3 linked regions of the Danio rerio genome follow. The protein of the gene in region 3 purifies or fractionates together with the protein of the main gene of each other region. This does not show direct contact. Links are inferred from orthologs where the notes say so. Each region holds a gene or a part of one and is shown on either strand. Other genes may lie near its edges.

Region 1 (10,938 bases), on a different chromosome or scaffold from region 3:
TAATGTCTCATTTCCTTGCAACAGATACGTGGGTGAGATCATCTCTGACGCCGAAGCAGATGTCAGAGAGAATGACTCCTATCTTTTCAGTCTGGACAGCAAGGTATCGCCGTCCTCCCTTTCAAAATCACATTACCCCTGCTGTCTGCTCTCTCAGTGCTGGATTATCTGCATGCCCTCAAGCAAATGTTGTGCATATCCTTTAACTGACCCCTGTCAGCTCAAAGAAATGCTTTATTTCATAATAGCATGATACTTTTGATACTTGCACTTCAGTAGTCTTACATTGACAGTTGATAAAGGGATACAAGCTGGGTTGCACAACCACTTAAAAAAAAAAATTGTGATGTTGATTGATTACCATGCATTAAGTTTCATGTACAGTTGAAGTCAGAATTATTAACCCTCTAGAATTATTAGCCCCTCTTTATCTTTTTGGTTTCCCAATTTCTGCTTGACGGAAAAAAAAATCTTAACACATTACTAAACATAATAGTTTTAATAACTATCTACTAATACCTGATTTCTTTTATCTTTGGGTTGTATTGCGTTCAACCTGTGCTGAGCTGGGATCGAACCAGCTATTCTTTCTATGGGAGTTGGTTGCTCTAAAAAGGAGGCTGAAGATCATAGCCTCTTGCATCTGTAGCTAGAGCACCTTTTGAGGTTCGAGGTGTGAGGTTTACCTGCTTAGCACTTTGCTAGATGGCCTTCATTACGCTCACTCTCATCCCGGACGAGCCCCCACACAAGCAATCCACCTGTCCTACTGCACCCAACCCGTTCTGAGCTGGGATCGAACCGGCGATTATTTGCATGGGAGTCGGTTGCTCTAACAAGGAGGCTAAAGACCATGGCCTCTAGCATCTATAGCACCTTTAGAGGTCAGAGGACTGAGGTTTACCGGGATAACACTTTGCTAGGTTGCCTCCGTTACACACCCTAAACCTCACTTCCATCCTGGACGAGCCTCCACATGTAACTCTCTGGTCCTACTGCACCCAACCCATTCTGAGCTGGGATTGAACTGGTGATTATTTGCATGGGAGTCGGTTGCTATAACAAGGAGGCTAAAGACCGTGGCCTTTAGCGTCTGTTGCTAGAGCACCTTTAGAGATCAGACGAGTGAGGTTTACCTGCATAGCACTTCGCTGGCTGGCCTCTGTTACACTCAGACCCTAAACATCACTCACATCCCGGACAAGCCCCAACATGTAACCCACCAGACAAATTTTTCCAGCCCGCTCTGAGCTAGGATCGAACCGGCAAATTTATGCATGGGAGTCAGTTGCTCTAACATGGAGGCTAAAGACCATGGCCTCTAACATCTGTTGCTAGAGCACCTTTTAAGGTTAGAGGAGTGAGGTTTACCTGCATAGCACTTCGCTAGCTTGTCTTCGTTACACCCCCTAAACCTCACTTCCATCCTGGATGAGCCCCCACGTATAACCCACTGGTCCTACTTCACCCAACCCATTCTGAGCTGAGATCGAACTGGCGATTCTATGCATGGAAGTCGGTTACTCTAACAAGGAGGCTAAAGACTGTGGCCTCTAGCATCTGTCTCTTGAGCGCCTTTTGAGGTCATAGGAGTGAGGTTTACCTGCATAGCACTTCGCTAGCTGGCCTCCGTTACACTTACCACTAAACCTTACTTTCATCCCGGACGAGCCCCCAAATGTAACCCACCGGTTCTCTGCACCCAACTCGCTCTGAGCTGGGATCAAACCAGCAATACTATACATGGGAATCGGTTGCTCTAACAAGGAGGCTAAAGACCATGACCTATAGCATCTGTTGCTAGAGCACTTTGAGAGGTTAGAGGAGTGAGGTTTACCTGCATAGCACTTTGCTAGCTGGCCTCCATTACATATACATCTCAGAATCACTTAAAGAAAGAAATAATGATATTTAACAAGGATGTTTTCAAACAAAATACGCGTTGAGCATATTAGCAGGTCAGTAGATATTAATCAGCATTTTAGAATTCTTTCTGAAGGAGCATGTAGCACTGGAGACTGAACTTATAATTAGAAAAAAACATATTTAGAAGCATATTGTATGGAAATTTCACAGTATTGTTGTATTTTTGGTCAAATAAAAGTAAGCATATGAAACATTAAAGGGACAGTTCACCCAAAACTGAGTATTCGGTCATCATTTACGCTACCCTCATTTGTCATAAATCGATTTGAGATTTTTTTTTCTTTTGTTTTTTTATTTATAAAAGAAGTTAGTTTGAAAAATGTTGGAAACCACTGACTTTCATAGTATTTGTCTTTCTTCTTATGGAAGTCAATGGTCACCAGTTTCTAACATTCTTCAGAATATCTTCTTTTGTGTTTAACAGCAAAAAAATCCAAAAAGTTTTGGAAACACAAGCGTGAGTTAAATTTAATTTTTGTGTGAACTTTCCCCTTTAGACAGTTATAAATACCAACCATACACACATTTTTCTAGATAAAAACACAATTCAAACAGTTTTTCTTAATTATATTACATTTCTTAAACCCTGCTTTATTAAACCTTTCTAAATAAATCTCATATTTCATTCTCTGACATCCCTTGGCAAACACAATCTCAATTTATTTTCTGTCGCAGGTGGGTGACATGTACTGCGTTGATGCTCGTTTCTACGGGAACATCAGCCGGTTCATAAACCATCACTGTGAGCCCAATCTGCTCCCCTGTCGGGTGTTCACCTCTCACCAGGACCTCCGATTTCCTCACATCGCATTCTTCGCCTGCAAGAACATCAGTGCCGGAGATGAACTTGGGTCTGATTTACATCATTGTCTATTTACTTGCTAACTGAATGTGAATTTTGCTTCACAGTATGGGTTAGGGTTTTCTAGTTATCTTGTACTTATAGGCCTTAATATGCTTACTTTTTCATCCTGAGACAGTCTCTCATGTGTATATATATTTTTTAATCATCCCAATCCAAATTATTAAAAAAAAATTTCACATTTACTCAAATATATTTTGCTAGCATAGTCTTTTGCAATGACAAAAAAAGAAAGCAGCTTAAAAACCCCAATATTAGATTGTTGTTGTTGTTGTTATTATAATTATTATTTTTATTATTATTATTATTAGTAGTAGTAGTAGTAGTAGAAGTTGTTGTTGTTGTTTTAGTAGTAGTTGATGTTGTTGTAGTAGTTGATGTTGTTGTAGTAGTAGTAGTTGTTGATGTTGTAGTGGTAGCTGTAGTTGTAATAGTTTGTTGTTGTAGTAGTAGTAGTTGTAGTAGTTGCTGTAGTTGTCGTAATAGCAGTTGTTGTAGTAGTTGTAACAGTAGTTGTTGTTGTAGTAGTTGTTATAGTTGTGATTGTTGTTGTTGTTGTAGTAGTCGTAGTAGTAGATGTAGTAGTTGTTTTCGTAGTTGTTTTCGTAGTTGTAACAGTTGTTGTATTGTAGTAGTAGTTGTAGTAGTTGTTGTAGTAGTTGTAATAGCAGTTGTAGTAGTTGTAACAGTATATGTTGTTGTTGTTGTTGTTGTAGTAGTTATAGATGTTGTAGTAGTTGAAGTTGTAATAGAAATAGTAGTTGTTGTAGTAGATGTTGTAGTAGCTGTAGTAGTAGTAGTTGTTGTTGTAGTTGTAATAGTTATTCTTGTAGGGGTAGTAGTCATAGTAGTAGATGTAGTAGCAGTTGTTGTATTAGTGGTAGTAGTAGTAGTAGTAAATGTTGTTGTAGTAGTAGTAGTTGTAGTAGTTGCTGTAGTTGTCGTAATAGCAGTTGTTGTAGTAGTTGTAACAGTAGTTGTTGTTGTAGTAGTTGTTACAGTAGTGATAATTGTTGTTGTTGTAGTAGCAGTTGTTGTATTAGTGGTAGTAGTAGTAGTAGTAAATGTTGTTGTTGTAGTAGTAGTTATAGTTGTTGTAGTAGTCATAGTAGTAGATGTTGTAGTAGCTGTAGTAGTAGTAGTTGTAGTAGTCGTAGTAGTAGTAGTAGTAGTTGTTGTAGTAGTAGTAGTAGTAGTTGTTGTTGTTGTTGTAAGAGTTATTGTTGTAATTGTAGATGTAGTTGTAGATGTTGTAGTAGGAGGAGTTTTTTTTAATAAATGAGCATGCAATATGGAATGGGGGGCAGGTGGGCGATTGATGTTTTACCCTTCAGCATTTATTATTGCACTGATTGTTTTTAGGCTGTAAGCAGACCATGTTAATCAATGCACTGGAGAAAACCATAAATATAAATAAAATAGCTTGCTGTATTTTCTCAATAAGCAAAATAATGTTTTAATAAGCAAAATAAAAAAAAAGATTTTGTTTAAGACAAAAAAAAAACTGAAAAGAAATACAAAAAGAAGCCAAAGATAGCAAATGATGTCTATTTTGAAGTACAAAATACAGCTATTGATAGTGCAATGTTCTTTTGCACAAATATATGTGTATTTGAATGCAAGTTAGGTTTTAAGTAATAGTCTATGGCTGCTTTTACTTAATGCAAGTGAATTGCAAATAATTTAGTTCATTTTGGCATAATTTTCTTCTAAAGCATACATCACCAGCTCGTTCTTTGAAGAATATTAGTGCCTAAAAGAAAACGTTTATTTGTATTGGAATATATAGTTTTTGATTTTTGTCCCTTCCCAGGTTTGACTATGGCGATCACTTCTGGGACGTAAAGGGGAAGCTGTTCAACTGCAAGTGTGGCTCATCCAAATGCAAGCACTCTGCAGCTGCCATCGCCCAGACACAGGCAGACAGTACACCAGGTGACCAGCAGCCCAGCGCCCTACCCGATACCAGCTCATCCACCCCATCCAGCCCCAGCTAAGCCTTCTCACAACCATGTTTGTCACCTTTGCCAGCCTGCACCTCCCTTCACCAGCACGGGCACATCTCTGCCATCTCTGGGTAGCCACTTGATGCTACACCCACAGTGCCACATTTCGCTCTGGTGGTCCGAAAGCCTATTGTTTGGTATGGTTTAGGGGTTTCAAATCTTGAAGGTGAGAGGTGCACGATTGGACTGGTGTTTGGAGTGTTCTGAATGCACATTTTGTATGGATTTTTTTGTTTTTTATTGTCAGCCTGCCCATTTTGGACCACGATGCATCTTGTAAAGAGGATTTTTGTTTTTTTCTTCTTAAGAATGAGGCTGTTTGAGCCAATTAAGAGACTGTGTGGCACTTGACGTAATTTCGTCGCACAATTCAGACGTCACAATGTGTTCTCCTGCCCTCAAACCGTGTTCTCAGTCATTCTCATAAACGATTTTATAAACAGTTGAGGTGAACGAAAGCTCAAAAAACTCCCAAACGAGTTTGGACATAATGATTTAACTCTTGACGCATCTTTGTTTTATGTTTAGTCTGTTCTTAGTTTTTGTGCATTTGCATAAAATTGTAATTTTCAAAGACCAAATTTTCCCCCTTACAGTTTTTTCTGGTTCTTTCAGTAGGCTGAGGCTAGCAATCATGGGATTTTAGCGCGAACGTTGTGCGCTTCCTCCTTTGATTGGTTCACAGACGCAGGACGTCATGCCAGAGCTACCGAAATCATGAAATGGCCTCTGAATGGGACACTTTTTGGCCTATTTCTTCCTGGTAAAAGCCCGGTTCTTGAGTAAAAATGCGCTTTAATGGTGAATCGCCACTGGAAGTGCAAAGCAATCCTGGACTAGGCTTAATCTGTGTGTGAAAACAAGCCCTATGGGTTATTTCCTGCATGTTACAGGCCTGGATACACATGGCTTCTGTTTAATGCAAATGATGTGCATCCCCCATCAATGCAAATGAAAACTGTCAAATATTTTCTGTGCGTACTTTCGATCACAGCGACGGAGCCTATTAGCATGCTTTTATGAAACGTGCTTTAGGAATAGGACTGGAATGAAATGCGGTCGGTGTAGGAAAACGCAAATGGTGCTGAAAAAAAAGGTTTTTGTTTATTTTTTTATTACTCACTAAGTGAATACAAGTTGTAAAATATGAAGATGCTTTTTTTTCGTTTTTCATTTGTATTTTTAAATTGACCTCTGATTTTTTTTTTCTAACTGTAGTTTTGACATATTTAGCTTGTACCAGTTTTGTTCCATGAGTCCATGTTGATGGTGAAACTATTACGGTCTTTTAAATGTTGATAGTGTAGTCATGTTCTTCGTGCAAACCCAGACATAGAGATACAATACACTGCAAAATGAAAGGGGAGGAAAAAGAAAAAAAAACTGTAACATATTTCTTGACAGTGAAACATGATGCACAATCTTACTGATTGTGTTTTTCTTTTTCAATAAATTTGCTACTAATAAAAGATAAACCTTTCTGTTGATATCATCTGAAAAATGTGAAGGGCTGTGTTGATATATTCTAGTGTTGCAAATGGGGTGGTGGCCAACAAAATGTCATGGAAATTCACAACTTCTTGATTTATTAAAAATTTGTATGATCTCGTTCATACATTTTAGTACGATTTGCTCATCCCCCATTGAGGGGTGGGGTTTGGGGGCATGCCTTCTTTAAAAAAGTCACACGTCTTCATATGAATGAAATCTTCTGTGTGAATTACTGCAGAAGTATTTGTCAGTCGAATTTTGTTTATTTATTTTAAATTCTGTGTACACCACAACTTGCAAATAAGTGGGTGTGGCTTACTCTCATGCAATGAGCTAGGGCTGTGCAATTAATCCAATATCCGATTTCGATTTTGGCTTCAAATGATTATGAAAAACCATTAATCGAGATAAACGATTATTGCATCATATACTGCCCCCTTTCCAGCTGTACACTGTTGTTGCTCTTAAAAGCGGAAAAGACCGCGTGCTTATGCATGTGTGCGGCACGCACACAAAATCAGAACATGCGGCCGGTCAGCATTCACTCTCATTCGCACACCGAGATTAGCAGAGGAGCGCAGACATCTAAAGTCATCGTAACGTGAGCGCTTTAATGGTCAAATAGGTGTCAAAACACAATGTTTAGTGATTATTCATGTTAACCCTCATTCGTGTAATAAACAAACAAGTTGAGGATCAAAAGACACGTGAAAGAGAAACCATTAAAGAGACAGCGAGAAATAATTTTGCTGCCGCCTGTTTTTATCATTAATCAAACAAAACGAGAAAATCCCTGTTCTTGACTGAAGAATTTTTGTAGCTAAAGTGTTTTTCTGACAGTGAAGATGCTTAAATCACAGTTTGTATTATATTTTTTTATTCTTTTCTTTGCAGGGTGGAAAATAACTACATATACAGCTGAAGTCAGAATTATTAGCCCTCCTGAATATTAGCAACCCTTTTACTGCCCAATTTCTGTTTAAATGGAAAGTTTTTTTATTTATTTATTTTACATATTTATGAAAATAATAGTTTTGATATGTCATTTCTAATTACTGATTTCTTTTATCTTTGCTATGATGAAAGTACATAATATTTTACTAGATATTTTTTGAAAATACAAGCATTCAGATTAAAGTGCAATTCAAAGGCTTAATTAGAGTAATTAGGCAAGTCATTGTATAACAGTAGTTTCTTCTGCAGACAATTAAAAAAATATATTGCTTAAGGGGGCTAATAAAATTGACCTAAAAATGGGTTTCAAAATATTTAAACCTGCTTTTATTCTAGCTAAAATAAAACAAATAAGCCTAAGAAAAAAATATTAAAGGAAATACTGTTGAAATTCCTTGCTCTGTTAAACATCATTTGGGAAATATTTATTTATAAAAAATAAAAATTCTCAGGAGCACTAATAATTTTGACTTCAACTGATAACCGTTTTAAATAATCGTGATTACAGGTATGACCAAAATAATCGTGATTATGATTTTTCCCAAAATCGAGCAGCCCTACAATGAGCCCACCATACTGATTTCACCAAGTTGGACATGTTCCTAGATTAACATCTATGTTGATCCTGTAACAACATGCCAATAAGAAATAAGGGATATGTTTACCGTTTATGTTAAGTTTAGGCTTGCAGTTTATGCACTTCTTCATGATTGTTATCCAACTATTATTCTCTTATGATTTTGGAAATAATTTACAGTTATGGTTGTGTTTAGGCATAGAAATAGGTATGGATTACATTTTCGACAAAAATTATGTTCCAGGATCGCATCGTACTTGGCAAAATCATGACGTGAGCCTGAGCTTGATAACAGATGCTCCTGAGACTAAGGGAAGTGCAAGAAGGGTATAAACGGAGGTCAGAGCCAGCTGCAAATGGGTGGTACTTGAGCACTCTTTTGTGGGCTGTACATACTTCCTGCAGTTTTCATTGATTTATTTAATGTCTTGTACATGACATTGAGTCCAAACTATTGTGTTTTATTAACCTCTACACTAGGGTTGCTCAACCCGGCAGAGACATTTCAGACATTTGCTGCAGAGTTTAGCTGCAACACTGATCAGGCACATCTCGACCATCTAAGGCTGCATTCCAGTCCAATTGCCCTTCACTCGCCAACTACCCTCTGACAGTCAAAATCAGGGTATGTATGGTTCACCTAATGAAGTGGAACACACTTCAAAATGGCGAGTGTGTTTCTAAAAGTAACTGGATCGCAGCCTAGGATCTGAAGGAGCACTCCGTAATTACAGAGAGGTGTGTTTGATCAAGATTGCAGCTGAACTCCTCAGGAAGGTAGATCTCTAGGAACAGAGTTGTGGACCCATGGTCTACACCAGGGATGTTCAGTCTCGGTCCTGGAAGGCCGGAGTCCTGCAAAGTTTAGTTCCAACCCCAATCAGACATACCTGGGCTTGCTAATCAAGCTCTTACTAGGCATTCAAGAAACATCCTTGCAGGTGTGTTGAAGCAAGTTGGAGCTAAAATCTGGAGGACTCTGGCCCTCCTGGACCAAGTTTGGTCATCCTTGGTCTACATCAACCACTACCCTGAACCAAACCTCAAAGTAACCTATTATGTTTTATTAAGTCTACACCAGGGGTCGATAGGAGGGCAGGTGTCCTGCAGATTTTAGCTCCAACTTGCCTCAACACACCTGCAAGGATGGCTGCTTCCGAAGTTGCATACTTCCATACTATATAGTATGCTAAAAACAGTATGTGAGCCAAGTAGTATTTCCAAATTTATAGAGTCCGAAAAACAGAGTGCGAGATGGATGACCTGGATGACTTGATACTTCCAGTGAGATTCTAAAGTGTGCATCCAATGCACGGTACACTAGCCCATGATGCTCCATGAGAGAATCATAAGGCGACGAAACTGACGCTGGAAGGTCATGTGATCATGAAAAAATGATGTAGTACGTCTGAGTTCCATTCAAATTGCCCACATTCATACTGTATAGAAAGTACTTTTCCAATGGCAGAGTTATACATTTAAATTCAAATGCAGTAGTGGGAATGGGTTAATGTGAGACACCCCCTGTATCTTGGCAACAGATTTTATATACTCCTCGATAACAATTTTGTTTTCAAGCAGATTCCATTTCCCCTCTACCATGAAGGACAGGAATTCATGGTGCTGTAGAAAGTTTTTTTTTCTTCACAAAAATGTATTTTTTGCTGGTAAAATTAATTTATCTTGCTGTCAACTTAATCAACTGTTGTGCCAAAGCAAATTGATTCTAGTAGAAAAACTTATATCATACATGTTGATGAACTTTCAACATAAAAAGCCATGTGATGCTGCATTCTGAAGATTAGCCTGATTTTTTTTTTCTAAAATGTGGCAATGGGGTAAAGTGAGAAATAAGGCAGACTGTAAGACTTGTGAATGAGGCCTTTACTGTATGTTAGCAGTAACGCCACACAACATCACTTCTGGATTTAGGTTCACTGGAATTTTTCCATATAAACAATACATTTTTCCTTGATAAAGCATTTTCACTATTCATGGTGTCAGACTGGCCAAATCCTAAGCTCCAGCTTGTCACAACAGAATATTTGGATGGTCCACCCTCTCCAGATGATCCACTTGTAGATAATTCACTCACTGATGCTAATCCATTCACTACGCATCGTCTACATGGATGTGCCATGTGTTTCCAGCCAACCTGGATATGTGTCCTCAAGAAATGCTACCACTTCTCAAATGTTTCCTCCCCAGAACACAATCCAAATGAAAGTGTGTAAAGACACACAAAGAATTGGATTGTGTTCTTATCTAAGTGGTTCTATCTGTCATTAAAATGTAAACTTGAATAGTTGAATTAGATTGTTGTATTTGAATTTGTTCAGTTACTTTCATGTAAAGTAAAAATGTGCTTAATTGACCAATCCCCAATCTAAAATGTGTGGTTGTCAAGGATTCAAGCTCTTACAACATGTTTTGTTATGGTAGTTTTAAAATGGAAATAGTAAGTGGTTCACTTTACCCCTTTGATTTCTCTGGCCTGTCTCAGTTTACCCCTAAGCTGCGGTAAAGTGAAACAAGACCACTTTATTTTTTAAAACAATCATATTTTCACGGACCTTTATCCTAAATACAGTCTGATAAATTCCATTGCCAGGAAACATTCTGAACTAATGAGAAGTGTTCAATTTTTACTGATTTATAATTTCAGCTCGCTTAGAGAGGAGGAAATGTAAAAAATGGCTCCCATTCTCCCCTACCTACGGAGTAGCAGTTGATTTTAGATGGAGCCAAGGCTAACCCAGGTGTGCCTGATTGGGGTTGGAACTAAACTTTGCAGCCAGCACACTGCCTCTTCAGGACTCAGTTAGGGCACCACTGTTCTAGTACAGCTAGTATTCCTGGAGTTCCTGGAGGTCCACTGGCCTGCACAGTTTAGTTCCGACCCTGCTTCAATACACTGTAAACAAGCCCGAAGGACTCAATCGAGTTTGATTAGCTGATCCAGGTGTGTTTGATTAGGGTAGGAGCTAAACTCTCCATGACACCAACCATCCAGGACAGAGTTTAGACACTCCTGATCCAAACTTTCCACCAACCCTAAACCCAACCTCATAATAACTTTTTTATTTTTATTTTTATGAACGTCTATTTACTTGTGGCATAAC
Region 2 (11,058 bases), on a different chromosome or scaffold from region 3:
GAATGGATGAGCATGGTGTTTATGTGCTTTAGGATAAACGGCTGCCTATAAAGCTGGCGAGGCCATAAATACGTCCACAGATTGTCTTGAGAGCGCATCGTAATCCTTGTTGATAGTCAGTTGCCGGGAAGAGTAGCTGCAAGCAGACCATTCTCCTCCAATAGATGTCAATCAAAGGAAGGCCGGTCAATGAGGCAACAGTTGGCATTACTCACGCAGGTCCCTTTCACTTCTGATAGTGAGCGTACAGATGGGCACAGATCGTATAATTATGAATCAATTCAAAGTCTTAAATTAGGAAAAATGTTTGATATGATGCACAATGCCCGTTTTTGTCACTAGATGGCAGTAAATGTTCATTAATAAACCGTGTTTAAAACTCACGCATTGCATAACGGGGAAAATGCGCCTCGTTAATGCTGTGGGAAATATTTAGTGTGGAAACACCAACATTGGGTCAAATATTAACAAACCCAACGTTTGCTTTTTTACATTAAGTTTTATTTAATTTTTTTAATCCAACTGTTGGGGTTGTTCATATTTAACTCAGATGTTAATACAATTCAGCATTTAGGGTGCACGCGTTTGATGCACTTAAATCTAACCTAATATTATTAAGAATAGGCTATTCATTGTTGATTGCACAATATATTGAATTATTTGTATTTGTTTCAATTTTTGTTCCTTTGTTGTGTCTATTAGGATTTACTAATTATAATGGTGCTCCTTGGTAGTTGTTTTAGTTTCTTTGTAATTAATTATTTTGTCGGGTTATATAATAGTATTAATTGTTTTTACAAAACATGTTAGTATATGTTCTGTTTGCATGCTTATTATGTAGGATATCATTTCAGAAAATCGGAATATAAATCTAAAATGTTGCTCCCATTGTGATCACCAGGCTACTTCATCAATTTATTATAATTTATATCAATACAAAAATATTTCAAAGTGATTTTAGCTAAATAACATACATTCGGATATATTTTTTTCTTTGTTACTCGGTTATATAATCGTTGAAACTGCCTTTTCCCTCCATTGACTACAAGAGGCAAACGTAGAGTCCTGCGCTCGAGCTCGTGCAGCCTGCAGTTTTTCCGCGAGCGCGCGCTCGGTGAGGGCATAAAACTCAATCTTGGCTGTGCTGCGAGCACTTCAATTACTAAATACCCTTTCACTCAAAGCACGCGATACACAACATATGAATGATTCTGATTTATTTATAGGATAGCGATGGATTTTTATGACTGACGAACAGACATGCTAGATCAGCACAACGTCTTTCCCCAGAGAAGAGTTTAATGAGAGTTTTCACCATCAGCGTCTTGTGGCTTGGGTCTAGTTTTACTCCTAGCTTTTTTCAGTGCTTGTTTAAGTCATATCCAGTGTTTCTATGCTGTCTTTTGCGGCTTTGTAGACAACAATAGGATTGACTATCAAGAGATTTTGTTCTCTGCAAAATAAGATATGACAGGCTAGCCTAAATCATAATGGTGCTGATCTGATGTTCAAAAATAGCCATCTCAATTGGCATAATTAGAAGTTTGCTAATATCTTTCAGTTAGATCACCTTTCACCGTTATGCTATTTTCATAATAGTTGTTAACTGGGATACTTTTAAAACCATTTAGGCCTGACGTGATGTTATTAACGTTGTTTTTTTAAAGCCCTTTTTTCCACTTCCATTGATTTCACAGTAATCATACATTGTTGCTGTTGGACATAGAGCCCCACCGCAGATGTGTGAATACTGCTCGCCAAGCAAAGCCCCAACCTATATATTTTCTGCGGATTATTCGGCAGCTTGCAGGGGATCCACATTTGTAAAGGAATTTGAATAGGAATTTTTTATTGCAATATGTTGTGGTTTTTTCCTCTCGATCAACCCGAATTGTCTTTTGGCGCCCTTTACGCAAACCTTTTAAACAAATACATCATTTGTGATAGATTTGCTAAACTGTAAATGCAGAGTTCCATACAATTCATTCATGTTGTCCCAACACAAATCGATTAAGTTTACTTAACAAATGTAAGTAGGTTGAACAGAAAACAATTAAATTCTCAAAAACAAAACCTCAAGAATTATGTTGTTTCAGCTCATTTAGAATAAGTAGTTAGAGCAAACAGCAAGCTATTTTCTGTGTAATGTGATAAATAATGACGTTGTTTATTTTGTCAATAATTATATTTTACCGAACTTAAGTAACGCTACTGTTTCTATTGCAAGCGTTCATTAAATTTAAAGTGTGTAATTATTACCTTATAATTTAACTTTTGTGAAATCTGAAGTTATTAAAAACACTTTTAAGAAATACTGATTAAGACAGCTCAACCAGCGCACAGATGTGCCAACCAGCGGCTGTAAAGTTAAAAATGCATATGTAATAAAATACGAATTGCATGCACAGTGTTTGCTGCAGCCTGGTCTACCCCCTCTCTCTGCCGTGAAGCCTGTGGTTACGGAATGTTTCCGCTTGTTTGAAGCGGAGAGGCTGGGCAGAGGGAGTCGTTGGCAAAGTCTCCACGGATGAAGAATGCGCCCGTGTTCATTCGGTCTCCCGTTACGCGCACCTCCTCATAGGGGCACTGCTCGCCGGGGCACCGCTGCTTTTTCTGCCTTGTGCAGCCTGCTCCTATTTTTTTCCCTGCGTAATGTTTTCTGCCAAACCAACAAGCATTATGACTTTGCCGAGTTAAATAGTACCGATAAGTGATGCCAATATAATTATATTAATTAAATGACCGGCGTGAATCGGTTTTTACGGTCGTAAAAACTGTATTAAAATAATTCTTACCCTTGCTCAGCACATTTTTCTCTGCATCATTTTTCTTTCCTTTTCACCCTTGTTTATTATTTTGAGTATTGATGTAAAACTTTGCAATATGATTTATTATTATTATTTAATCATTATTATTATTATTCATTATTATTATTACTAATAAAAAAATAATTACAATTCTGTCTGTATTTTTCTTAAATAACGGTGCTTTGGTATCTTTTTGAGTGAAATAATAATATCCAGATTCCTTGATGTTGCACTCAATTACAATCCCAGACATTATATATTAAATAATTCAGCCTATTTCACACTCTCCGATACATCTGCACTGTTTTGATTTCGAGTTTGAGGGGCAGCCGACAGGATGTAGCATTGATAAATATCCCTGTTGATCACTTGATTGATTACCTCGCGCAAAGGTCACGCGGGCGCGCGGTAATTTCCTTGTGCCCGCGGCTCCCATTTCACTTTCAGTCTGGCGCGAGAGCCCCCGACTTTACAAATTATGTTTTTTATTTTAACCCTTCCCTTTCCTCTTTAACATCTCGCCAAACGACCTTCTGTGCTGTACATCAAACGACAGAAGAGGGCAAACCTTTAATTAGGATGGAGTATTAATCACATAAGGTAAACTGCATCTTCTCTGTTTGATGGGGTTGAATTTAAACCCGGCGACAAGCTAATAATTTAGCCGCATTTCCAAAGGGGTTTTGGCCTCAATTAATTTTCAATAATTACAGCCCACGGGGTCTTGACTGATCCTCACACCAGTGCGCCAGCTATACGCCATCTCTGGCCGACGGGGTCAGAGTATCCTCATAAAATATGTCCCGTGGAAAATAAGCACGGTAAGAGATTGCGAATGGATAAAACTCTTCTAATGCCAATGTATGGTTAAGCAAAGTAGAGGTAGCCACAACTGCACTGACAGCCATCCCCCCCCCCCAACCCCCCCCCCCCTTTCTCTCTTGCTCACACTTTTTTTTCTTCTGTTTTTGTTTGTCTTACAGAAGTTGCATGCAGTGCAATGGTGTACTTATTCTTTTGTGCATATATTTTATTTAGTATAAAATAATAACAAATTATGTTTTATATAACTTTTATATATTATATTGTATATATATATATTATATTTTGTGTTTCAATCTAATAAGTTGCATGCATGTATGTGAATAAATATTGGCCCATTTTATTGTTCTTTTGATATGCAAGACAAATTCTTATTTGGGCAATTTAGCTGAGTTTTAGATCAATTCTAATATGGCTTTATTAGATATCAAGATATTTTTAATGATCACTGATATTTGATAATTGCATCATGATTTGTATATTTAAAGAACCATCATTTTCTCCTCTTCTGTTTACTCTTGTGGGTTTTATTCGAGTAAGCTTTAGTAAGTGCTGGTCAGCTCAGATAGTCGTGGGCGGCAGCTGATGTTTGTTCTGCGCCATTCATTTTTATGCAGAGTGATGTCAGATTAATTGGATCCGTTTTAGAAATACTTAGCAATCAATACCGCCAGTGAGGGGCAAGCGACCCTTTTAAAGGTTCATGGGCAAGGTCAACGTGATGTCACGCGCTTCTAATTAATGGACAATTAACTTAATGACCCAAGAGTTTCACAAATTCTCACCCGTCTTGAAAACTAATAATAAATAACATAAAGCTAATAAATTCGTTATACAGGTCCAGGATAATTTATCATATCAGATAAAGGTCTACAGTGCAATACATTTAATTTGAAGATTGCTGGACATCGATGAAAAGGCATCAGAGATCACATTTCATTTCACATAAAAATTAGAGTAGCCTATATTTGTGATAAACAACTCAACTGCTACCTGATAACATTAACACCTTTGTTTTACACACTTGGAAATAATTGATTGTTTTACAGTTTTCATTTTTTAATTCTGTATCAGTGTATTTGGTCATTAACTGGCATTAAATCATAAAGAGAGAGACTAAACTTTACAGATTAATAATTGTCGCATAAAGGAAAAAAATATTCAGCGGGCTGCCCTCGGTACAGACTGCCCACGCGCCTGCTGAGGGAGGGGGAGAGAAGTAAAAGTTTATCATTTTCATAAATTCATAACGATGGTCAAGTCTCAATTAAACAACATAAAACGTTTAATGAAAACGTTTTACAATAGTCATTTACCCGAACAGTGATTAATGCGTCTTCATTTAAAACACAAAAGACCGGGCGCCTTGGACGCTCGAGACTGCTTCATTATAATTAATGTCTCCGGTTCCTCGTGCACCCGGAGGTCGCGAATAGCTCCGTCCCGCGCCCACTGATCTCTGAAGATCTGACACGAGAGGGATCTCGCCGGCTATTGCAACCTGACAAGATCTGTAATACTTGGGTGATGAATCGTTCCAAACTTTTTTGACGATGCTGGCAGCTCGGGGCTGTGCGCATGTGCGAAGGTGTCCAAACTGACAATGCTGGAGAGATAGTGCGTCTGGGATTGAGAATCACAGAGAAAAAGGACAGAGGAAAAAAGAAAAAGGAGGAAAAGATTCGAGAAAAAATCCGACGAACCCACGCCGAAAGACGGGCATCATGAGGTCCAAAGGCAGGGCAAGGAAACTGACCACTGGTAGGTGCAACATCTCCTTTTTAGCCCTTTTCAAACTGCCATCTTGTCCATGTTTATGATGCATAGAAACATTTTAGTCTCTAAACAGTTACAGTCAGCAGAGCCCAGCAATATTACTTGCTTGCGGAGGTTGAGGAAAAGCTAAACGAGAAGCGTCGCTCGCGATCGGACATGGCAAACCTAGATTCGAAACTGGCATCAAAGTTGCGCGTGGCGCGCAAACTTTTTAACTATCGCATGCTGTAATCGCGTTCTCTATTCGAGCCCCGAGCGCCCCGGTGTTCGATAAAAAAACACCTCCGTGCAAGTTTCTACGGCTCCGGTCACATCAATTTGCAGCAGCGACTTTGAAAAGACAGCTTCGCCTATAGTCGACAACAGAAAGCCAGCTGCGGAGGCACGCTTTTAAATGCAAACAGGTAGCTTACCATCTGATGTTACGACAGGCAATCTAATGAACTGCACATATGCTAGATTAACAGGACTGTGATAAAAAAGTGCTTTGAAGTATTTTTGATTTGTGGACATTTCTTTTTTTTTCCCTGTGCAATTGTCGAAAGTGGTTGTGCAACAAGTGATCAAATCCCGTTATGAATTTTTGTTCCGGTATGAACAGCCTGGAGAAATGTTTTTGTTTGTTATGGCCCTCTAAACGGTCGGCTGTAATCTTAGCTTTTGATTACGGGTTGCCTTAGGCGCTTGTTTGAGTTGACGTTCAATGCGTGTGTTCAATGCCACGCCACAACACAAGCTCAAACGCCGAAACTCAACATCAAGTAGTTAGTGGGAAGCTGTTCCCCTCCTCAATAGATTTATTCGGAACGAATGTATTTCGCTCAGGTCTGTGAATAATTCGGCCCCCTCGTGCGCAGTGGGCTGCAGAGTCTGATTTGAGCAATTTTCTTAACTTTTCTTTTTTGTTGCTCTTTTGCAATAAACAACGAAAATCCATGCAATATTTCCATATTTCACAGTGCTTATAGGCATCGGAGCAGAGATAAAAGTTTTTTTAAGCTCAAGTTTCACTATATATACTGTAAACCTGAGAAACTCGAAAGAAAACAAACAACATGCCAACTAAAGTATTTTTTGCAGCCTGCGTATATTATTTTTTAATCTTTTATTATTTATGTTTGTTTTTAGTAATAGACTGACATCTGCTCAAAAACTTTAATGTTGTTTCTATGTGCCAAGGTAACAAAAGAGGCAGTGAAAACAAAGTATAAGATCACTTTGCTCTTGAATTATTGTTTCCTTTCCTGTCGACAGCACTGTGATGGGCTAGACACTGCGCGCACTCCGTCTGGACAGAAACAGGGGTCGTGCGGGTCTTATCCGTTCAATAAACTACCTCTCAAGCCCTATGCCCTGCCATTGTACAATGAGAGGGTTTTTCTGCGAACAGCAGCAACTTGTCAAACATACTCACGTGCACACACACTATCGTCCACACATCTATTCACAAACTTCAATTTCACTTTGGTGTTTTCCAGCTGATGCAGGTAACCCGTCACTTTTTAAGAAATGTGTGAAATTGCATTATACGAAAGAGATTTTAAAACAAACCAACTGTTTGCCATTGATTTATTGATGACATTTATTAATTTACAGTCAGCATCACAACTCCACTATTTTATTCAATATTTAGTAAAATATTTTTTATGTTCCTATCAACTACATTTTTTTTATTATTGCCATGATCTACAATTTAACGTGGTGTCTGCACAACCATATGCAAATTACTTTTTATTATAATATTCTGTTCATAACTTAAATCAGACAAAATGACGTTGCAGGCCGGCACTTTTTTGATGCAAGTCGAGTAAGATTTTTGCCAATATTTTTTAGACCCTCCCACTGACTCCCATCATTATTTAGACTACTATCTAAGAAAATCGGAATGATTATCAGGGGGTGTATTTAAAGATTATTATTTACCCAAGATATAAGAAGAAGATTTCTACCTATTAAGTGAAAGGGAGAGAATGTTCTGGACCGCGCGGGTCCCGCGAGACCCTCGCCTCTCTGGCCTCGCGCCAGCCCAGCACTATGTCAACATTGAATATTTAAATTCCCAGACTCCTCATAACGGGGCCCGTCTGCCGGTAAAAGCGCGTTCAGCGTCAGTCTGAGTAGCTGCGGACTCGGTTTCCTTCAAGGGGGAAAAAAGGAAAAAAGTAATCTCCTCTCCGTGTGGCCTCTGCCGCGCGCGCTCACCGCACATCACTCTGCCTGCACGCGCTCGCACTGATGTGTGTGAGTGCTGGAAAGGTAATAAAAATCGGTCGTTTAGCTGGTGTGTGTGCACGACATGTTTTGTGGATTTGGCCAGCGGTGCCGGACATTTCACCTGCAGGTCCAACAGTCTTAAATTGTCTATAATGTTTTAACACACCGTGCCAAGTGTCCTATATCCCTCAGCATGATGTTGCAGGTTTACTATGAATGGAGTAAAATTACACCTCTTGAACAAGAATAATAACATTGACCTGCCAGAAATCGGACGTGCTGTCAGTTAAAACCCTAGCAATGACATTCGGACGCTTGACACCTTTTATTGCACTTTTAATTATATAGCATTATTCACATATGAAAGCCTGCCAACATGTCTAAATACAGTATTGCAAATGGTTTTATTTCTGATTAAAAATAACGTCTGTTCAAGAAATCAGATATACTGTTAGTTTAATTAGCAAATAAACAAATTGTACTTTTAATACCTAAAAATTATTTATAAGTATATGAGAAATATGAAACATGCGTTAAAGAAGGTAGTGCAGAGTATATATATATAATCATATATTAAATGGATTACTTGCCATGTTTAAAGCAATTAAATATGTTGCCTGGACTGTAGTAGGTAATTTACAGGAAAAATTAATGCATAAATTATTGTAGAGATTGTTTTACAAGTGAGGGAAGCTACTAGAAATATGTAATAATGCAAGTCACGTTTATTATTAATTATTCACAATTTTTAGATGCCCAGCATTACATATAAAGTTCACTCTGAAGAATTAAACTTGATGTTTTTAAAACCGTAATCAAATCAGAAACATTTGGGCCTTAACTATCTGATTCCTCGTTTGATGATAATTATATCTGATAAGCTGCACATGTTCAGCAAGACTTTAAGATTGTCCTTTTGTCCCGTTCTGCGTCTTCGACAGCTCCATCAGTTTCACGCCACGACTTTTGTTTTGACTTTGATGTGACTCGCTTTACCGTGAAAGTGTCCAAACAACGAAAAATCAACTGGACGCTGAAAAAGAAAAGCTCCAAATTTAACAATGTGACATTCCGCGTGAGTGAAGCGCGTGAGAATATAAGCCCCGCGCGCGAGCATTCTCTCCGCCTGTCAGCGCGCCACCACAGTCCGCTTCTTCACAGATACAGGCGCGCGGTTGATTCTGCATTGTGCAATGGGCCGTGCTGCGTCCCGCGTCCGCCGCCGCCCCTCATTATAGAGCCTATTCAAAATGGGGTGAACGGATCGGGCCATTTAAAAAGGTGAGCGCGAAGCGTATTAAACACTCGTTCGTCGTCTGATTCTGAATATCTCGAGAGTTTAGTGGAAATAATGATGTCTGTGAACAGTGAACCACATCTCCTCATAGCAACTTTTTCAGAGGGGGCTGAGGAAAGCAAGAAAACAATTGTTTATGTTGTCTTCACTTCTCAGACTGCGAAAAAATCAAAATCTACAATGTTAACTTCTCAGTTTTTGTATACCTCTCAAGTAAATATTTTCTCTACTTCTCTTTCTCTCCTCTGGCATGATATTCTGCAGAGTTTTAAGTTGAGTTCCTGGAATTGTGATGCTTTCCCTTTGGAGAAATCCTGTGCCTCTTTTCAGACTGTCCACTCTGAAAAGATCAGTGGGCCTAAAACGGAGAACTTTTGTTTCAGAGACAAAGTCAAAGTGACCGATGAGTTAATTACGAGTAAAACAGTGGGCCGTGATGGGGTCAGTTTGAAACAAGCCTAGCTTTTCCCAGGCATTGAGCGTGTGCATCTGCGTAAGATGGAGAGGGCTGCAGACCACTGTGGGTTTTGATCATGATTGATCACACGTTCTCAAAGGATTGATTGATTAGCCAGAAGCCGCTGGGTTTAGCAGAAAGGTCCACTTATGTCCTGGGAAATTATCCTCTGGTCTGTTTGTCTGAGATTTCATCAGAGAGAAAACAGGAGGAGATGAGATGTACGAGGAGATATGTGTAAGATGTATGTTTGATTCTTTGAATTGTGAGTCCCGTATACACACACCAACGTAAGAAGCGATTTCCTTGTATATGTTAGAAGAGGAAGGACTGGATGTAGGTGACAACAACACAGTTACCCTCATCCATCAACACCCTTATAATACCACTACTTTCTCTCCTTTCTTTCTCTCTCTCTCCCTCCCTAATGACTCAACGAGTGTCTGCGTCTGCCCAGAGTGAATTGAAATGGCCGGGTCAACGGTTTATTTATCTTGTGCTCTGATTGGTCAGGGGTCAGGTCATATGGATGTTTATTTGGAAATTTGATTGGTGTGACTGATGGATATGTCGTTTGTGTCCCTCAGGGAATTATGGGGGTTGTTGTTCAGTAAGTTCAGTCACTTTTTATCCCCGAGCGACAGGTCCTGAATCAGTCTACCAATGCTCAGTCTTGACTGCAGTCAGCATTAAGCTTGAGCAGAGCACAGGCAACAGGCCAGGCCAGTAATAAGTCACTGTCAAGCCAACACCCACGGAACCATCAGATGTCACTGTTTGACTGGTCTTGACTCATCTTTACTTGGGCAGGATGCATTAGTCAAGTTAACTAGGATTTGCAGCTCCTAAAAGACAACACTTTTTAGAGAAAAAGTAGCCCATTAGTTAAATGATCCAACCTATAGGTTTCAGATATTTTTAATAAATGAAAATGTGAATTTGTTTGAACATTTACTAAACCTAGTTAAACGATGGCAGTCTGTGTTTCTGCTTTCTATCAAAATGATTGTATTTATGAGATGAGTGCACATGAATGCCGCCACAATATCATAATTACTGGCGAGGAAGCTTGCTATTTTCTTTAAACCCCTTTGTTCGGAGTCTGTGGGCGTTTAATTAAAGAATCATGGTGGAAGCAAGTTTAGGTAATGTTATTAATTAAGTTTTAGATATGAACGGTGACTGTGTACCACCTAGTTTGTATGCATTTTGTGCACTTAAGTTAAAGCATTTAAGTATGAGGAGGAGACTGAATTTGTGTGAGAACTACATCTCCCATCATTCCCTTGATGGAAGAGTATGTACATAAATATTATTTGCTGATGCATTTTATAGCACTGATGCATTTATGTATTTGTTGTGTGTGTGTGTGTGTGTGTGTGTGTGTGTGTGTGTGTGTGTGTGTTTCACTCTTTCTTTCACAAGTTTTAATACTTTATTCTACGTTTGTATTAAGGCTGCACGATATTGGAAAAACTGACATTGTGATATTGTTTTTCTGCGATAAATATTGCGATATGCATACAATTTCACCAGATCATACGGAATAAATAAACAATATTACCAGATGAATTATTTAGAAATAATTTATTAAATTAGATTGAGTGGAAAGATTCTGTAGAGAAGTGAATCATTCATAAAAATGTCAAATACTGAATAAAAAGCAAAAATAAAAGTGAAATAAA
Region 3 (11,167 bases):
TTTACATTTCAGTAATATTAGTAACAGTTTTTAGTTACTATACTATCAAAATCATTCTAAAATAAATCTGCAGGTTTTGTACAAAATTCTGCAAAGAAATAGAAAAAAATGTCTGCAGATTCTGTCTGGCCCCGGATTAAATATACTTTTCTTAAATATTGTAAACAACGTCAACAGTTTTGAATAAATCAATTCAGAGAAGCAGAGGAATTTCTTTTCTTATTACACAAATCTTACATTTAGCAATTATTTATATTATTTGACTGAATAAAGATACATTTGTTAGACAATTGCACATACTCAAGTAAAAATGAATTGTATCAGTGACATGTGAAATGCTATATTGTTTTAAAAAAATAGTTAAAATTTAATAAATTTAATGTTTAGGATTTATTTATTCAGAGTAATTCTACTTGTTAAATAAAAAGTGATGTTTTCTATTAAAATGCTTAAGTTTTAAAATCATATAAAGTTAGAAGTTTGACTTAAATTTAAATTCAAAGTTTAATTTGTATTATTATTTAATTGGGACTTAATGAGATTAAGTAATGTTGAATTAGGTAATCTAATTACTTTTCAAAACAATTAAAAAAAAATATCTTAAATACAATTTTAATGACGTAATTTTTAATTCATTGTTTAGTATTACAGCACACTGAGAGCATTTCTTTTAAAAAACTGTCTGCTTTTGGTATCTGATAGAACATTTGGTCCCAGAATCTGTACAGTGTGACCTCAGACTAAACAGTAACATTTAAAAGAAATTTAAGATTCAATTCATGCAGATTAAATTTGAACATTTATTTGAAGCTGATCAACTCACGCTGTGGTTGACGAAGTGGGAAATGTTTCCATAATGAGCAGCATCCACGGTATACTCATCGTCCACATAATCCAGGTCAAACAGGTAAGTGGCGCCCTCTTTATCGTATACATGACCTCGGCGTTCTGCTTCTTCTGTTGTGATGATCTAAAGCAAAACAGGGAAAAAGAAGAAAATTTAACAACTACAAAACTTGCTTCTTTGATAGACAGCCAAACACAGCCACAGCTATCAGACGGAAACTAAACTGTTAGATAGCTGCTAGACAATGCCATTATCTACTAGTGAAGAACAACATGTCCTGGTGATAACAGGGCAGCAACGACAATGTTCAACTGAAGAAGAGTTGAAATACAAAAATTAAATACAATAAAATGTAAATAACTACAATATTAATCGACAAATTATTGATCAACTGTGTGCTGTGTATAGAAAACATCAGCTAACTTTAATAACATTATTTTTAATGAATTTATCCAATTAAGTGAAAAAAATAACAGCTGAATAACACTTTATTTGGCATTTAACATTTAAAAATAGTTGCATTATAATTATTATATAATAACATAATTAGATCAGGGTTTCTGCAGGTTTCACCACCATTTTTAGACCATTATGAATAAAATTGTAGATTCATACAGGGCTAATTGCAAAGGATTTTTTTAAATATCCCGTTTAGAAAAGATTTTCACTTGCTCTATCTAAAAATTATTAAAACTCAATACATTCAATAATACAATAATAATTTAGTTATTATACATTTATTTTATATTTTTTTATTAATTTTCAAATATATCCATTTACAAACTATAACCCTTACCAAGAATAGAACAAAGCATAGCTAAGCTGTCAATTGCTTCAGTCTACAATAACAAATAATAATAAAAAAATAAATATTGTATCCTCAGCAGCAAACAAATGGAGAACTTTAAAGCAAATGCTAGTGTGAGGAATGTAATTAGTTGCTCTTTTTAAATAAAAAGTTAAAAGTTTTATTGAGATTGGGATTGCCGGTGAATGTATGGGTGTAATGGTCAGATACATGAACAAAGGAAAATTAAGACCTGTTAAAAAAGATCCTGCAACACAACATTTCAGTAGATTTAAGACTTTGTAAGGCCTAAAATATAGCTTTAGAGATTGAAGACATTTTAATACCCTGCGGAAACCCTGTTAATTAATTAGAATTATGTTTTTTTTTTTTAAGTGTTACTTTTTGCTGAAATTAGGAACTTTAAACCAATCCCCAAACTAATAGCATAAATAATCAGAAATAAATATAACAAACAACCTAATTGGTAAAATCAATAATAAAATTTCACCGTTCAAATAATTATGTTTTAATCTAGTGAATAGAAAAAATAAATCAACAGATTTACGGATTATCAACTAATCGTTAGTTACAGGCCTTAAATAAAAATAATAGAATGTTTACATGCATCTAATCCAGACTACAACTAACAACCCAACTCAATCCCTCTCACCTCGCCGACATACTCCATGACGAAAGTGTTCTTGCGAATTCGCTCCATGGTCCGCACTCCCCATCCCCTGCCATTGTCCGTCCTGAAAATGCAGAGCGAATACCGGATGCCCCTCTGCACCACTCTGTTGGAACAGTCAGGCCCACAGCGGCACCTCTTGTTGCATTCATAAATGGGCAACCCAGGCCGAATGCGGACCTGACCCAACTCATTGTATGCAAACTTATGCTGGGACGCTCCGGCACAGCAACCCTCCACAGGGCTGGCCAAACAGTCTGTGCACTCACAGCCCACGGACACCTCGTTCAGCAGGATCCCATCTCCAACTTTATAGTCATTAATGTAGGTGAAGCTTTTGGGTGGACCCTCCAGATCCACCTGGTTGCGGACAGAGATGTAGCCCTTATGGGTGCCCAGGCTGTTGAGGTGAGTCTCCCATTGTTTGAGGGTCTGCCGGAGTTTCGCTCGCTGAGTGAGGTGTGTTACAGTGGCGGGGTCTAGACGACGAGGGGCAGAACGTTTATTCTGTCTCTGCATCTCTGCATTCAGATCCTCCCAGAACTGAGAGAGCAGGTTGACGCACCTCAGGTTCCTCCGTGGTTCCCATGTGTTTCTGGATTCTGGGTAGCCTTTCCATTTCACCAGGTATAACTCCTGGGACAGAGAGGGAAAAACATGGAAGAGAAAGTAGGATACAGTTTTGTTTTAAGTATTTTTACTGTTTAAATTGCACAAATTTTACCGCCATTTCAAGATTTAAGAGAAGTAGTTTGTGTCTCCAGAATGTGTCTGTAAAGCTTCAGCTCAAAACACTCGTCAGATTATTTATTATACATTTTAGAATACTGGAATTTTTTGCTCTGAACATAATGTAGCTGTTTTTGTTGCCTGTACCTTTAATGCTAGTTCTCCCCACCCACCGCTCCCACGTGCTTGTCAGAGTGTGCCTCAATCTCCGCTTCAGCTGCATCGGACACAGGGCACAGCGACAGACAAGAAGGAAGCAGATCTCGCGGAATGTTTGTGAGAAATATTACAAAAAAAACCTCGCAATGATTATTTGATGTGTGATTTGTTGTGGAGTTAATTTAAGCTCTTTGGTGAGTCACACACAATGCTGTTACAAAGTTCACACTCACATATTTATATCTTAAATTATACAAGTTCAATAGATATTAAGAGTGAAATGAGAGATATATACTCATTGCAAAAAAAACATTATACAAATATTTACAATTGCTAGATACAGGGGATGGACAATGAAACACTGGCCAAATTGGTGTTGGAGGTTTCATGGCTAAATTAGATCAGCCTTGTGGCCAATGTTCATTGATTGCATATTCCACCAGTAAGAGCAGAGTGTGATGGTTTGATTGGAGTAATAGCACAGTTTTGCTTTAAATATCGCAATGCACACAACAAGTCTTTGTGATGTGTCAAGAGCTACAGCATCCCGGATAATGTCAGATAATGTCTGTCTGAAAGGCATGTCTGTTTGCTAGGGCTGTGCGATTATCGAAATCGAATCACAATTTGAAACGTTACCATTACTAATTGCGATTTCGATTACTAGCACAGCCCTAGCACCCAGACATCCCTTTCAGCCAGCTTACCTTTGCATCCACAGTTACTCTTGTTGTCTTACTAGCCAATTGAGTGAGCACACTTTCGTTCTGCCCAATCAAAATTAAATTTCGCAACCGAACTATGGCCACAATAAAATAAAAAAAAAAGAAAACAAACAGGAAATTGCTGACAAGTGGCATTATGGCATCTCCTGCTTCAGAAGCATTGATAGACGAATTACTATCAAAGAAAAATAGCACTTGTAATATGGGAATATTTTGGTTTCAAAGTCATAGACAGCGCAGAATGTTGCCTGTCACAGCATTGTTGCCACGGCTTACAGATTATTGAGCTAAAGCTTGACTACAAATTAAACCGTTAATCAAATTGCAATTACCATATCCTTCAAAAAAAATTGTTTTGTATTTTGAGATATTTTTTATTCAGTGGCAAAAAGAAGCATCCTGTGCTTGGTACAGAATAAAAGCTTGTTCAAATAAACCCCAAGTGCTGTAAGTAAACTCACTTTTAAATTGTGTATGTAATAAGATTTAAGGTTTTATAAATAAGTAAAAAGATCAGCCTTTTAATAGCACTTCTATGTGGTTTTCCATCAAAATAAATGTTCTATAATACGAAAGTTTGCTGTTGTTAAATACAACAATTACTATTATTACAGAATCATCTAGTTTAACAGTATTATCAGTGTTAAGAATAATTACAGTGACATTTGTTTTAGGAATACTTTATTAAATGTTATTTATATTGCAAAATATTAGTTTTAAGCTCTTATTTATTATATATGTTTGCATATAATAAAAGTATATTTTAAAAAAAATTACATTTGTTATTACTAGTATATGAATAGCAGTTCCGAATAGGGCTGGGCCAATAAATGATATTAAATCGAATCGCTCCAATCACAGCAGAAATGTGCAACAACAGAAATCTAGAACTTTGTTGATATTAGACATGCAGCAAATTTTTGCCCACCGACAATTCATCAGCTGAATTTATGTTATGCCATTTAAAGTACCCTCTAATTTTTGTGGCTTCAGTCATTGTTGGGCTACTCTTTTAAATCTGGATGCATTAACAACTTACATAGAAATGTATATCGTTACGGTTCAATATAGAAAACAATTATCAAGACTGCATTTTTGCCATATAGCCCAGCCCTTGTTCCGAATGCCAGTTCCTCCTATTGTAAATCTGAAATCCTTTCTCAATTGTTATGTAGGATAAAAAAAATTGAAACTTGGATTTCAAATAAAACCTAATGCTTTACAAATGTGTTGTTTTCTGCTCACCTGTACTGTTTGCCTCTTCCCATCTGTGATAACTTTTCTTTTGTAGTCACACAAATATTCCACTTCATAATCACACAGGTTGTTCCTGCTGATGCCGAGCTCTTCGCACACCACTCCCTCATCTCGACAGACCACCTCCAGCTGCTCTGTCGTAGCAATGCATGCTACCCTGCAAACTTGAGCTATAAAACATGATTACATGTCAATTTTAGAAAAAAAAAGAGGTAAAAACGTGGGTAAAATCTAGATTACAGATGCGGACACGCACATCAATATAGCTTCATTTTTGTGACACTGTACAAGAATATTTATACAGTACTGTGATGATTGGGTTTAGGGTTGGAGTAGACGTTATAAGATACAATTTATTGGGTAATTTAATAAATTACATGTTTAATACTCAGTACAACTACTGTTTTTACATAAAAGTGATGGTTGGGTTCAGGGTTTGGGTAGGAGTAGATGGTAATAAAATGCAATTAATGGGAAATTATATGAATAATAAATACAATTTTTTTAACTTTTGGCTGCAACCATATCCGATCTAGCAACAACCGTAAAATTGGTGATGACAGATGTGTGCACGCTAGTAAACACGGCTAAGCTGTTGCTAACATACATGTAAACTAAAACTTTGCAGAAAGAAACATGTCAAAATAAATAGCATGTGAAAATAATATTATTGGTTAACATGCATACACACACACACATGACAAAATATAATTTTCTTTAAAAAAAAATTTTATGAAACAACCGTAATCACTACTTTGTACATATTTTGTTATGTTACTTAAACTATTAAGTTGTTTTGAAATAATATTACAAAAATGTATTGTAATGTACTGTGTATTTGTAAATGTATTTAATTAATTAAAAGTGAAATAGTCTTCAAATAATATTATGTAGCTAATAACATGGACTACAAACATTTTCAAGATATTTGATCATAAAACTCTAAAAACCAACAACAAACCAAAGCCAATTAAACCAACTTACAATATTGTCATGTTATCAAAGTAATAGCAACATTAAAACTTCTTATCAAAATATATTGTGAGAATAGACTCCCTAACAAGATAGTGATTATAGTTTCTCGTATAACTTTAATAAAATATATAACGTTAGATCTACAAAAACAATACAAAAGAGTAATGTACAGATCTGCTTCCTTCATGCTTTATGGAATAACGTTACATTAGTAAGTTAATCTTTACAGGGCTGGTCGCGAGCATCTTCGCTAACCAATGGGCCATTTAAACACTTTAACAAAGCTAAACTAAGAGTATTCACAGGCTGAATTGGTATTTTAGTGTATTCATTTGCTTTTAAATATGAATTACTTAGCAAAGGAAAATAAAAACGTTAGCTAAACACCGAAAAGTATGCTAAAACTGCGCATATGCGAGATATGTAACATTGTACAACTTAACAAAACTTCAGAAAACAATCTGGACAGGGGAACAAGCGATTGTCGAAGAGTTTGTTAAACGTGTTTCAGGAGCGCGCGCTGGCCATAACACCGACCTACCGTGAATTTGTATCAGCAACTTGCAGCAAATAATGTTTTAAAACTCGGGGCTTATTTCCGGGTTACCTCCGAGAAAACATGTCGTTTAACCAACTCGGGCTATAGATCAGACTTATATTGAATAAACTGTTGTTTGTGAACGATTAACACGGCATATTCTTACCTTTCAAATTTTCCGCCATCGTCTCACGCCGCCAAAACTATGGAACTAAAGGCTGCTCGGTGGTTGGATGCGCCCCGTCTGAGTGACGGGTTGAGCAACCAATAGTGGCAGAGTATTTAAATCGGGAAGAGTTTATGCAAAATGCCACATTCGTTAAATGTGTGAACTTTGAGGAAAAATAGATCTTAATTTGACTGATTTTACAGGCAGATATGGATAATATTTTGAAGACACTAACGTTAGTTATCTGTGAGATGCTTTCCATTTAACGGTTACCCATTTAATTACTCTAGAATGGTTAATTTTTGGTGTCCAGGCGAGACAAAAAAGTCAATACGATTTTTTGAACTAAGGCTTTAATTTCATAATCTAACATCTAGGAAACAAAAAGGCTGTTTACGTCACTCAAAGTAAAAACGGAGATGTGCTGTAAAGTCTTTTATTTTGCTTTTCGCCGGTTATGAAGGCGGCATAGATCTATCTATGCGAAGGCGGGACATGTAGAGTGTCATCGTCACGTGACAGTGTGACGTAAACATTCATGAACTTCCGGGAAAAGTCAACAAATGCGTTGATGTAAATACTGTCTGTATGTTTGTGCGTTTAGTTTTGCATTTCTGCGTGTAACATTTTATGTATTTGTACCTCCTTATGTAATTTTATTTCCTCTAAAATACGCAATATAGACAGGAGAAGGCCTAAACGGCGAAACCGGTTGTCTGCCAGCCTCTTATTAATGCGGCATAGACCATTTACTAACTGATTATAAGTACATTGTTTACAGTACAACCATCACCTTTAGCTAAACGACAAATAATTTAAATGTATTATTTTACAGGCGTCATGTCCTTCATTGCACAAAGTCTCCGGACACCAGTAATTTTCCTGGCGTTTCTTGTTCTCATAGAAGTGGTGTCGTTTGCTTCTGCAGATAAGGTACAGTTTTACTGGCTTATTTTCACCTGTATTCTTATGTTTTAAAACCTCTATATGTAAATAAACGTGAAAAAAGGCAACATTTCGAATGTTACCAGGTTTTGACATGTTATTAATGCAATTAGCATTTTTCATTCATTTTCCTTCGGCTTAAGTCCCTTATTTATCAGGGGTCCCCACAGCGGAATGAACCGCCAACTTATCCAGTAGATGTTTTACACAGCAGAAGCCCTTCCAGCTGCAACCCAGTACTGGATTAGCACTTAGCATTTTTTTATAACAAAAAAAAACTAAAACTAAATCTTTGGAGTATTAACCTATACAAACTACTCCAGAAAAGAAACCTTAATAGTTTGTCAATAGGTTTACATTTGCACGTTAATCAGCAAAATTGTGTAAAAGATGTCTGAGATATGGAGGAAGGACTTACTGAGGTTGATGATATGATTTAACAAAAGTTTTTTTGACCCCCTATATTTATACTAATGTGCTTTATATACCTATCCTAAAAATAAATAAATGAGCATAACTCTAACATGAATTGTGTATAATTTAAAAAAAGTTCAAATTCCTTGCTAAATACTGTGCCTTTCTTCATTTTAGAGAAATCATTTGTCTCTTTCTGAAAATAATATGTTGCTTTCACAGAGTTTTGAAGATGTGCGTTGCAAGTGCATCTGTCCACCTTACAGAAACATCACTGGACATATATACAAAAAGAATGTGACCCAGAAAGACTGGTAAGACTCTAGACCAGGGGTGCCCAAACTTTTTCTTATGAAGGGCCAAAAACCAAACTTGATTGAGGGTGGTGGGCCGAAGCTAAATATACCAAACTGTATTACGTTAAAGTTGTCATAGAAACTTTTTAATTTAATAATATTTTAAAATATATAGAAATTTTTTATTTATCATATAATCATCATATATCATATAAATATAATGCATTTTATAATGTACTACCTACAATAAAACTATAAACAGTCTAATTTATAGCACAATGTAGTTCAAGGATTTTTTATTTCAATAGTGAAATATGTGTTCTAATAGTGTTTTTAGCATTGTTGCCACGCATATATGTCTGTCAACATCTAAAAAAAAATGTGTTTTAGGGTTTCATGACTCTTAATATTCTGATGAATTCACATTTACTTGAAACATTTAATTTCATTTTTTGTAGCTCAGCAATTAAGCAAACAAACAAAGGGTTACGTAAAATTAGAAAAGACGATCTATTTTTGAGGGATTCAGCCCGACCTTCCCCATCATTTGTCCATCTCTTTTCTGATTTGTTGGCAGGCCAAATTAAAGGTTACCATGGGCCAACTTTGGAAAAATCTAATTTATTTTTCAAGTCAAGACACGATGAAATTGTTTATAGAAGATGCTGCATTGGACACACGAGACTCACGCATGAACATTTACTTAAAGGAGAAGAACCCCCAAAATGTCTATATTGCAACAGAAACCAAACAGATAAACATATTCTAGTGGAATATTTAAATGTGAATCTTTATCAAAAGGAAATCTTAAAAAACTGTTTTAGATTTTTATCTTGTATATTATCATTATTATTATTATTATATATGTATTTTACCTTGTACATTATTTATTGCTGTTGAATACTTTTATTTATTCGAATATTTTTATAATTATAGAAAATTGGTGTTTATAAAACGTGATAAACTTGATCTATTTTCTTTTTGCCATGACATAGCCATAGAGGCTGAAATGGCAATAAAATTAAAACTCTCTCTCTCTCTCTCTGGGCCAACTTTGGCCTGCGGGTCCTAGTTTTGGCCATCTCTGCTCTAGACAGACTGGTACTGTCTGTAAAAGATATATTTTATAGATTATGTACATTATATCTTGATAGTTTTTTTCCATTTATATTTATGAATGTATTGTCTTATAGTAACTGTCTGCATGTGGTGGAGCCCATGCCAGTGCCTGGTCATGATGTGGAGGCCTACTGTCTGCTGTGTGAGTGCAAGTATGAAGAACGAAGCAGCAACACCATCAAGGTGAGAAGAGACTTTTATTATCTAATCATGCATTTAAAGGAAATTGAGGAGTATTAATATTCTGATAAATTTCCCAGGTGACCATTATCATCTACTTGTCAGTGGTCGGAGCTCTTTTACTGTACATGCTATTCCTGCTTCTGATTGATCCTCTGATTCGCAAACATGATCCGTACACCATGCCACTGCAGAATGAGGAGGATTCAGAGGTATGTGGAAATTGTTTGAGAAAAGTTACACAAACGCAGAAATTACATTTTTATGTGGCCTCAAAATACAGTTTTTAGCAAAACATTTTTGTCCAAAATCAAAATATTATATAAATAATAAAAGTTCTCCACAAATCCTCTGCAAAAAAAATCAATTTCTTTTTTTCAAGATTGACCATTTCTATATTAGTCAATCACAAAATATCTAATCAGCCAGTTACATGACTGCACCTCATGCATTTATGCATGTAGATGTGGTCAGTATAATCTGCTGAAGTTCAATGTGAGTATCAAAATTAGGGAAGAAAGATGATTTAAATCACTTTGAATGTGCCATAATTGTTGGTCTGAGTATTTCAGAAAAGTATTTTCTACAGGTATTTTCACATACCACATAGGAATATGAAAAGCATCGACTTCGGTACCAGTCAGTACTGTAGTTTAAAAACATTTGAGCACTGTTGAGCAGGTCCTTAAACACTACTGATTGTATTTAGTGTTCATGTGCTCAGCAGATATTACTGTGATTGGCTCCAGTGATCATTGACTCAGTGTGTATCAGTGCAAGTGGTGGGTGAAGAGGGTCTTTGGAGCCAATCACATTCATGTCTGTTAACCAATGAGTGGCCAATCAGCGGTCTTCACATTTAAAATGCAAATAGGCAATGTGGATGTCACAGTTTTTAATATCAGCACTGATTAGCTCCATAGTCAGTCCTTTATACAAATCTAACACAACCATCTCTCTGACTGACAAAGAATGATCTAAAAAATAAAAAATATCCAGTAAGCTTGATTTCTATAGAAAAAACAATTCCTGTTAATGTCAGACGGAACAGGCACACTGAGCTGACATAAAGACTAGGGGACACTCAAATAAACAATCTTTATGTTTGAGGTCTGCAGTAGCTGACCAACATTGAAGCAGATAGGCTACAGCAGCAGAAGACAATAGTTGCCTCTTGACTAACTCTTGACCCTAAACATTTGGGTATTAATTGTACTCTGCAGGATGTGAGGCCACGTGTGGACGGTGCTCGTGGAAATACAGTGCTTGAGAGGGTGGAGGGAGCTCAGCAGCGCTGGAAGAAACAGGTCCAGGAGCAGCGCAAGACTGTGTTCGA

Evidence for each region.
Region 1: the proteins of suv39h1b (region 3) and ehmt1b purify together in Homo sapiens (co-immunoprecipitation; 3 studies listed by BioGRID and IntAct, with this or other methods). This does not show direct contact. The link is inferred for Danio rerio from reciprocal best matches to the Homo sapiens genes SUV39H1 and EHMT1.
Region 2: the proteins of suv39h1b (region 3) and mecom purify together in Homo sapiens (affinity purification with western blotting; 3 studies listed by BioGRID). This does not show direct contact. The link is inferred for Danio rerio from reciprocal best matches to the Homo sapiens genes SUV39H1 and MECOM.

Annotation. Positions count from the first base shown.
Region 1 is NC_133196.1:16,043,273-16,054,210, reverse strand, and holds the end of ehmt1b (histone-lysine N-methyltransferase EHMT1), read left to right. Parts: intron 1-24; coding exon 25-103; intron 104-2,601; coding exon 2,602-2,777; intron 2,778-4,601; coding exon 4,602-4,785; 3' UTR 4,786-4,819; coding exon of another isoform or gene 4,820-4,869; 3' UTR 4,870-6,263; downstream 6,264-10,938. UniProt on the Homo sapiens protein: Histone methyltransferase that specifically mono- and dimethylates 'Lys-9' of histone H3 (H3K9me1 and H3K9me2, respectively) in euchromatin.
Region 2 is NC_133190.1:38,326,208-38,337,265, reverse strand, and holds the start of mecom (histone-lysine N-methyltransferase MECOM), read left to right. Parts: upstream 1-5,080; 5' UTR 5,081-5,353; coding exon 5,354-5,390; intron 5,391-11,058.
Region 3 is NC_133183.1:27,652,037-27,663,203, forward strand, and holds the start of suv39h1b (histone-lysine N-methyltransferase SUV39H1b), read right to left. Parts: upstream 7,304-11,167; 5' UTR 6,894-7,303; coding exon 6,875-6,893; intron 5,366-6,874; coding exon 5,184-5,365; exon of another isoform or gene 3,913-5,183; intron 3,806-3,912; exon of another isoform or gene 2,962-3,805; coding exon 2,308-2,961; intron 971-2,307; coding exon 824-970; intron 1-823. Other genes in the region: proton-transporting V-type ATPase complex assembly regulator TMEM9 isoform 1 precursor, read left to right, coding at 7,697-7,810, 8,459-8,550, 9,726-9,834, 9,912-10,043, 11,055-11,167. UniProt on the Homo sapiens protein: Histone methyltransferase that specifically trimethylates 'Lys-9' of histone H3 using monomethylated H3 'Lys-9' as substrate. Also weakly methylates histone H1 (in vitro).